Linked DNA regions of Neurospora crassa OR74A. The protein of the gene in region 1 purifies or fractionates together with the protein of each later gene. This does not show direct contact. Links are inferred from orthologs where the notes say so. Each region holds a gene or a part of one and is shown on either strand. Other genes may lie near its edges. The genes, in order: rho-1 and rdi-1.

Region 1 (4,475 bases):
CGGGCATGAGTGGGTCCCGCATCCAGATGGAAAACTCCACCCAATCGAACAAATCGGTTCTCGTTCTTGGCGTTCCTTCCGTCCTCTCGAAGCAGTGGTGGCTGCCGCCCGTCACCTCCCAGCCCCGGACAATTCACTTCGTTGGACAATGGAGGGGACCAGAGTGAACCGACGGGTAGGACTTTGGGAACCATCATGGGGGTGGTAGGACTTGTAATTTGGCATCTAACACCGTGGCTGACTGACTGACTGACTGTTGACGGCTGACGGATGACGGGTGGCAGCTGACGCTTCCTTCTCCAGCCTCCCTCTCTCCTATCCCGTTTCGTCATCCACCAAGTCAACAAGCTCACGTCAATGCCATGGCAACCGAGATGTTCGCAATTCAAGAGACTGGTCTGCTATCTAGATGCGGCTGGGCACCGACACTTTGCTGACCGCTCCGTCTCTTGGTATATACTGTGTAGTGTATCGACAGCCGAGAGGAAATGGGGTATAGTGTGGTGTACATACTGCGTATGCCAACAAGACAGGAGCTTCCATGTTTTTAATATCATGTCCCGTCCTTCCTCCCACCCCATCCCCTTCCTCCATGTTCACTACTAGACTGTCAAGAGAGTCCTGGACCCTGATAATGGATGGCTGAGAACAAAGCCCAGAGCTATCAGCAAATTACTACCTATGTAGTGTACACTAGGGACACCCAAAATAGGCGACCGGAAGGAAGAGGCCCATGGCGCACTGTGCCTGTTCCTGTACCTTTTGGCGTTGGTTCAGGGGTTCTGGGCAGGCAGTCTGGAGATTAGCAGTTATCGCCGCCGCCCACTGGACCATCTTTGCTGCTGGAGACTCGCCTCGCCTGCCTTCGCTCGCTCGCAAAGCTTCCACTTCCTCTGAGTACACTACTAAAATCCTGGGGGGCCACGGCAGCAGCGCGTGCTTTCCCCCTTTGATCGACAGCCAGCCGAGCCAGCGCAGCGTGTCGGGTGTCGGATTACTGCGGTATGGATGTCTAAAAGTGGTTCGAGTGGTAATTTGGCCCGTCCCCACCGTGCACTTTTGCGCTTGTCATCAAAGTTGAAGAAACAAAAAAAAAAAAAAAGGTCGAGAGTCATGTTCGGGAGATGGCCTTATTAGCCTTATGCAGCAAGTCCGGGGTAGCGAAAAAGGGGAACAGGAAGGAACATGACGACGACGATTTCAAGGTCGGTCCACTATTAATATCACCAAAATCAGCTCTCTTTTCGCGTGCAAATAGCTGAATTACGGTAATGGAGGTGACGGTGTTAATTGTAGAAGAGGACCGGTACGTACCGCTTGCTGAGGATTCGGGCCACTCACAAGTCACATCAAGCCAGCACCTCCCTTGTCTGGCCCTTTGCTCTTGGCTCGTCTCGCACCCCTACCGGCTCCTGTACAAGTGATGGGGTATTCCGACACAAAATGCAGTATCTAGGTAGGGACCTAGTGTGTTGGATGAAAAATTAGGTCGGTAGGTGTCGTCTGCCTTCCTCTTACCACACAGTACCTGTAGCCTCCAGGCTGCGACTGCTGCCAGATGGGACTGTGTGAACCCGACTGAGTGACTGCCTGTGCCTGGACAGCCCGCCCGTTCCCTGGGGCTTCTCTGGGGCTACCCACTGCCTCGCTCACCTCACCACACACGGCAGCACCCACTGCCCTCCCAGCCCAGTCTGACTGCCCGGCCCTGGTTCGCTGGCTAAGGTTTCCACCCTCTTCCAACCTTGCCCGTGGGAGTCCTGCACCTGGCTATCTGGTGGTCCCCCCGTCCCCGTTCCCCGTCTCCGTCTCCGTCACAACACAACTCACAACTTGAACAGGTTAGCACACCACCAGCGGCCACTACCTACCTACCTACCACCACCACCGTCCATCCTTCAACAACCACCCAACACCCCCATCTCCATTTTCCTTCCCTTTTCCATTTTGCATCTTTTATCGACCAAATCCAGGCCGCGTGATACCCTCTCCCGTCCTTTGCATACAACCCGTCGACAACGAACAAAGCACCGTCCGTCGACATCACTCAACTCAACTAAACAACTTAATCTCTCCTCCCCTATTCACACAACCACCAAACCGACGCCATGTCTGCTGAACTCCGCCGAAAGCTCGTCATCGTTGGCGATGGTGCCTGCGGCAAGACCTGTTTGTTGATGTATGTCCATTTCCCCTATCCACATCCAAGAGATTGATGCTGCTCTTATAAGGCGCGCGTCGTCGTCGTTGTCGTCGTCGTCGTCGTCACCGCCGCTCTCCCCCCATCACAACCTTTTTGCTAACCGAATTTCCAGCGTCTTCTCCAAGGGAACCTTCCCCGAGGTAAGTCAGGCACTTGTCTGTCGGGACTGAGACGTCCATCTACACACCTGCCCTCGACCGTCTGTTCGCTACACCGCCCCAACCGCCTGACGAAACACGCATCTTCCTGCCAATTCCCGCGTCTCGCCTCCCCCCCCGAACAGGCTACATCCATCTCCTCAGCCCGATGAACCATCAAGCCATCAAATTCGAAACACCCGCCCTGTCGCCATCATATCCGCATCCGAATAAGCGCTGCTCAGCCAGCTAACTCTCTGCGCCCAGGTCTACGTCCCTACCGTTTTCGAGAACTACGTCGCCGATGTCGAGGTTGATGGCAGACACGTCGAGCTCGCGCTATGGGATACGGCTGGTCAGGAGGATTATGACCGTCTCCGTCCCCTGTCCTACCCCGACTCTCACGTCGTCTTGATCTGCTTCGCCATCGACTCTCCCGATTCGCTCGACAACGTTTCCGAGAAGGTCAGTATCCCGCCTGCTTACTTGGCGCGCCCTTGTCTTTGAGGCTACAATTCGCTAACAATCAAAAACAGTGGCACTCTGAGGTTCTTCACTTCTGCCGTGACGTTCCAATCATCCTCGTTGGCTGCAAGAAGGATTTGCGCCACGACCCCAAGACCATTGAGGAGCTCCGCAAGACCAGCCAGAAGCCCGTTTCCCCCGAAGAGGTACGTGAGGCTGAGACATTGGCGGCTGATGATGCCCCTTTTGTTTCCAAGTGCTTTCCCTCCGCTTGCTCGGGAATGTATGCTAACGCGCTCATCAACAGGGTGAGGCTCTGAGGAAGAGGATCAACGCCCACAAGTACCTCGAGTGCTCGGCCAAGACCAACGAGGGTGTCCGTGAGGTGTTCGAGAACGCGACAAGAGCCGCCCTTCTCAAGAAGACAAAGACGAAGAGGGGCCTCTGCAAGAGCTCGGTCTAAACAAACCCACAGCTCTTTAGAGAGATGCTTTTATTTCTACCGCACGACGAACAACATCATCTGCACCAAGCCCTCCCCGGATAGCCTCGCAACATGTAATCAAGCAACGGTTTTCAAAGCGAAAGATGATCATCACCTTAGTTGATAATTCTCTGCCCATGACGCCGTCAATGCTGCTACCGAGCGGATAATATTTCACAGAGAGAAGAAGAAAGGGGTGTGGAGAGCGCAAATGGGGAGGGGCTTGGGATTTCGGGGATACTTATGGGCCTTACTACTCGATATTTAGGGAGGATAACTGGGTCTGGACTCCTTTCCACTATTTCTGTGTGTGTGTGTGGTCGGCGTGGACGGGTGCGTGGCTTGTGTTCATGTATACACAAACGGAGGACACCTGAGGGCGGTAAAGGGAAAGAGAAAGACTGGAGAAAGGAGTTTTGCGGTTCAATATTTCTTGTTTCTTCTGGAATCACATGCCGCGTCTCTGGCCCCCCTTACCTGTCTCCTTTATTTCTCTTTCTCTGTCACTGCCCGTGTGCGTCTGTCTCTTATCTCTCTCTCTGTGTCTACCTGTCTGTTATTAATCTCTAGTTTTATCGCGTTCTTGTTTATCTGTCTCCGTCTGCTGCTGCCGCTGCATGGTTCAAATTGGGATTTTGAGATTGAATGTTCCGTATAGTTTGGGCGATCGGCATGGCGAGGCCGCCGAATGTCCCTGCTACTTCCATAGACCGTTGACGACAATTGCTGTTACCTACTGTACATCCTCAGACCATTCATTGCCCGTCCCCTCTTGCAATACTCATGTCAACCACTGACACGAGCACAGACTTCTTCTACGTCAGTCAGCCCGTTTGTCTACTTAGTCTTTGAATCCGAAGTTCAGTAATCATCACGCTTTGCCGACTATGCAATCCGACGGGAGAGGCCGCCGCCAGCTCCAGACCCAAACGTGAAACAGTTGATTGAATGAAGGACGTCATGTCTATCAAGGGTAAACCTAGTTAATGTTCCCGAGTCATCACACTCAGCGCGTGAGGTATGCCAGAAAGGCATGATTGGTCTTGACAGCCAACGAAGCTAACACTTGCAAGTAAGCTATGATGTGCCATACATTATACACTTTGCATCTCGAACACTCTCTGGGACTTCTTCATCATAGCCAACAGAGGGGGGAAAGAAGCGGTAAACATAACACTTTCAAAAG
Region 2 (4,273 bases), on another chromosome or scaffold:
CCAGGTGTACAAGCTAGTTGCTAAACCTCTTCTTCCGCGCCAGGTCTCTCCCCTTCGATTCACTCTATCGACCAAATTAAAGTAATCGACCGCTTCCGCGAGATTCCCCACGAAGGCCCCATGGCCGACCTAGTATGGTCCGATCCCGATCCCGACCGCGACGAGTTCAGTTTATCACCCCGCGGCGCTGGCTACACTTTCGGAGCGCAGGTGGTTAAGAAGTTCCTGGCGGTGAACAACATGAACCACATTCTGCGCGCGCACCAGCTCTGTCAGGAAGGGTATCAGGTGCTATACGACGACCGGCTGAGCACGGTATGGAGCGCGCCCAACTACTGCTACCGGTGCGGAAACATGGCAAGTGTCTTGGAGGTCAGCGATACTGGAGAGCGCTTCTTCAATGTGTTTGCGGCCGCTCCTGAGAACGACGCCGTTAAGGATCAGCAGATGAATCAGGACAAGTCGGCGGAGGGGGGCGCATTGCCGGATTACTTTTTGTAATAGTCGGCGAGAGACGGGAAACCCCCCTACATGGTGCGCACTCGGGGCGAATGGGGATAGAGGACGGGAACAGAGAGCATGAGCGTTGCGGATGGTCTTGGCTTGAACTTGTTCGCACCAAAGAGTGTGAATACACTGCATATACCCACGCTAGCGACCGCAATGTCATAGATTAGAAGCAGGCATGAATGATAGAGGTACTCGGGACAGTTTTTTTTTTTTCTTCTCCTCTACTAACAAGTAAGCCCTCCCGATCTTCTTCATAGCAGATAAGAGAAACCGCAAGACCTGAATTGCGTATGTGAGAGTTATGTGTGTTTATACTACTAAGATAAGATGATGTGTATGTATGTAGATAAATGTAAGGAAGTTTTCTCCTCTTCCCCTTCCCTCCTGCCCGGAAAGGGGGGCGTATACCCTAAACGACCAAACCATCCTGTGGCCCAGATTCCGTTCCGTTCCGTTCGCTTGCCTTTCCAGTCCCATACCTAGATAAGGTGAAACAGACGTCGGTGTGTTTCTACCTTCCTTTCCCTTGTCGAGTTCCGGTAGTGTAGTGTATCTTTCTCCCTGTTTCGTGATCTTCGAAACAGGGAGGAAGCGCGTGTTTAGTCTTCTTTCCCCACTCAGCATGATTAATTCCATCTTCATCCTCTATCGAGTTCGCTCCTCGTTCGCGAATGGCGCATCCCTCTTTGCCCACGAAATCAACCGAGGGCACAGCAGTTCGTCACAGTATGCCAACAGCGAAGTGTATGTGTGTGTGTATCCGATGCGGCTGACTAGCTGGACTGAGTGACCGGCTAGCTTATAGGGCGAGAAACTAGACGACGACGATGACGGCGATCTAAACCCGAAAGTAGTTTACCAGTCCTTGGCAATATCGAAGCTCCACTCGAACTCGAGATGGGTCTTGCCATCGTCGTCGACGAAGCGAGAGACGGCGTTGTAGTTGCCACGGGCGAGCATGCCAGTGGGGGCCTCCTCCTCGGCGACTAAATCGTTTCGTAAACTCGGTCAGCAAATTTCCGCCCCCTATTCCCATTCACAAGGACAAACAAACGGACAGCAGGATTTCTGTCACAAAGAAGGAGAGGAAGAAGAAAAAAGAACTCACAAGTCTTGGTGTACATGGGATTCTTATCCGTGTTGGGCGCATAACTGCCAATCATCTCGCTCGTCTTGCCACCGGGGATCCTGATCTTGCCGCGCTTGACCGTCTGGACGTAGTGCAAGCCGCTCAAAATTTCGTGCTGCACCTTGAACTGGGCCTTCATGGTGAACTTGGCACCCTCCTTGATGGTGAAGGGCTTCTTCTTGAGGTCCTCCAGCGACCCGGGCGTAGACAGGTCGATCACGACGGGCTCCCGGCCGGGAGACTCCATGGAGAGCGAGTGGATGATGCACACGCGCGGGTCGTTGGGGTCGGACAGGTCGTTGCCGCCGCCGAGGCCGAGGGACTCCTTGTAGCGCTTGAGGGACTCGTCGTTCTCGTCTAGGGGGAAGGGTTAGTCATGGTGGCTCTTCTTTTCATGAATGGTACCTCTTTTCTTTGGCATCATGATATATATATATGTGTGTGTGTGTGTGGTTGAATGCGGTTGAGTGTTGTGTGAATGACGGTGCTGTGGTCTTCGGGTCTGCTAAGATGGGCTATGTCGCGATAGCTCTCGCGCCCCTCATCTTCAAACCAGGGGCATGCCCTGTTGAAAGTTGTGAACGTCTGCGACGACCTTTGGCTTAACTTGACCGCCAAGTCAACAATTGCAGAGGTAGGTTTCTGCCACGGGAAACCCACGCAAGCTTTACTTTGCGCTTAGAGTGGTCGTGATCTTGCCAAAGTTTTGGCATGGAAAGTTGCGATGTTGTGAGGCGTTGCCATAGTCCTTTGCGCCGTGAAGCATGGGCGGTGAAAGGGGTCACCATCATGTCGTCACCGCACCCGCAGTTCCCCCTTTTTCCAAAAAAGTCCCACGATCCGCACGATGCCGCAGAGAAAATACGGGTGAAATAAGACGCATGCGATGCTGAAAAGAAAACAAACAGTAAAGACAAAGGTTGGAACATACCCATCTTGTGGTACTCAGCCAAGGACTGCTTGGGCTGAGAGAGCTTGTAGCCCGAGTTGTCCTCGGGCATCAGATCTTCGTCGTGTCCGCCGGCCATTGTGAATTATTGGGGTAGTGGTTGTTGATTAAAATAGATGATGAAAATCCGTCGGGATATGGAGGATACAAAGTTGCAATGAAGAGTCAAGAAAGACAGGACGGGAGAAGAGAAGAAGTCGACGACGACGGAAGCTATGATGGTATTTACGGCGCCGATCTGATGGAAGGTTTTGGAGGGGTGACGGGACAAAGCGAGGCCGGAGCTTATTTATTTGGGCGACGGGAGCACTGTGCACTCCCAACCGACACCCACACAGTTCCAGATTGTCCACCCACGTTCACTGCGAGTCGCCAGGAACCACTCACAATGGAGAGCGGCTGAGCCCAGAGTCAACTGAAGAGAGACGGCGATGGAACTGACTGGCAGCAATTCTGGATGGAGGGGCTCGGCACTCTTTCAGGATGTCTTCTCTTTGGCCACAGCTCTTACAGCTGGTGGGGCCAAGGGGGAGCTGCATCTGGCGGTTGGGGGTCTCGACGCGAGAGCAACACCAAGACGGGCCCATCATTGGATAAACATGGGCCATCTGGAACGCCGTCGACCTCGAACCTGTCCTCCCTGGTTCCCGCGTGCAGAACATATCAAGTCTGGAATCCCCCTCATCCATTGGGCTGCTGGCTGTTGATGTTTCCTTCCATCTTCTGTGCCTCTTGACTGCGTGCCTTGCCCGTTGATGCTGTGAATTATACGGGCCTTGTAGTAGGTAGCTCACCTACTTCTCTCCTCGAGCCTCGAGACTCTGGTAGAGGTACCTACCTACCTACGTACAGTACATGGCAATAGGGAGCTGCCTAGTGGATTACCTCTAGTGTTCAAGCTACGGCGGTGATCTGATGGACTTGGACAAGTCGAGTGGTTGCACGAAACTGGCGATGTGAACAACAAGTGTCTCTGTTGTCACCGCCCCTGGAGAGGAAAGGAAAAAAGGGGTTCAGAGCTTGGAGAGAGTGTAGCGATGGTGGTGAGCGATGGTGCCAAGACCTGAGAGGGCCGATTCCGATCATTGGGGGCCTTTTTTTGGGTCGTTCACCGCTCCTTCTTTCCCCGCCAGGGACCCGTCCGCTCGAGATACTGGGGGGGCTCTCTTCACCGTTGAGTCCCGGCATGTCAGATCACGGAACGGCCAGCCTTCCGGTTATTTTGATTTATAGGTACCTTCGGCTAGCTGGGAAGAGCGCGATATCACCGCCCTTCAGCCTTTTCGTCGTTCGTTTACTTCTCCTCAGCGGCTGAGACCCGTTCTCTGCCGGTTGTCTTACAACTGTTAGCACGGAATGGAGCTTGATCCAACATGAGACAAGCCGTTGAAGCATCCCGGTGTGAAACGCTTGAGGACGCCTCTGCTCTGCTTGGTGATCGCTGGTGAGCATGATGGTTCTGGTGGTGTAGAGGTCTTGGCTACCCCAGATTGACGGGTTGACGGGTTCCTGGGACGGGATGACGGGTTGACAGACAGTTCTGTGTGCGTACCTACCTATGCATCACCAAATGTGGCCAGTCTTTGACTTCAGTTGTTGGTGTGCCATTCCCCTCCCCACTCGCTCACGTCGGTCAAGGCCAGCGTCAGTCCAGCAGACCCGTATGGTATCTTATCAGGAGGCCT

The links.
Region 2: the proteins of rho-1 (region 1) and rdi-1 purify together in Saccharomyces cerevisiae (affinity purification with western blotting; 3 studies listed by BioGRID, with this or other methods). This does not show direct contact. The link is inferred for Neurospora crassa OR74A from reciprocal best matches to the Saccharomyces cerevisiae genes RHO1 and RDI1.

Annotation. Positions count from the first base shown.
Region 1 is NC_026502.1:3,340,554-3,345,028, forward strand, and holds rho-1 (rho-type GTPase), read left to right. Parts: upstream 1-1,646; 5' UTR 1,647-2,108; coding exon 2,109-2,179; intron 2,180-2,315; coding exon 2,316-2,343; intron 2,344-2,607; coding exon 2,608-2,805; intron 2,806-2,876; coding exon 2,877-3,011; intron 3,012-3,112; coding exon 3,113-3,268; 3' UTR 3,269-4,147; downstream 4,148-4,475. UniProt on the Saccharomyces cerevisiae protein: Acts as a central regulator in the cell wall integrity signaling pathway, which is regulated by the cell cycle and in response to various types of cell wall stress.
Region 2 is NC_026504.1:1,633,587-1,637,859, reverse strand, and holds rdi-1 (rho-gdp dissociation inhibitor), read right to left. Parts: upstream 3,031-4,273; 5' UTR 2,668-3,030; coding exon 2,571-2,667; intron 1,997-2,570; coding exon 1,619-1,996; intron 1,497-1,618; coding exon 1,366-1,496; 3' UTR 701-1,365; downstream 1-700. Other genes in the region: serine/threonine-protein phosphatase PP2A catalytic subunit, read left to right, coding at 44-501. UniProt on the Saccharomyces cerevisiae protein: Regulates the GDP/GTP exchange reaction of the Rho proteins by inhibiting the dissociation of GDP from them, and the subsequent binding of GTP to them.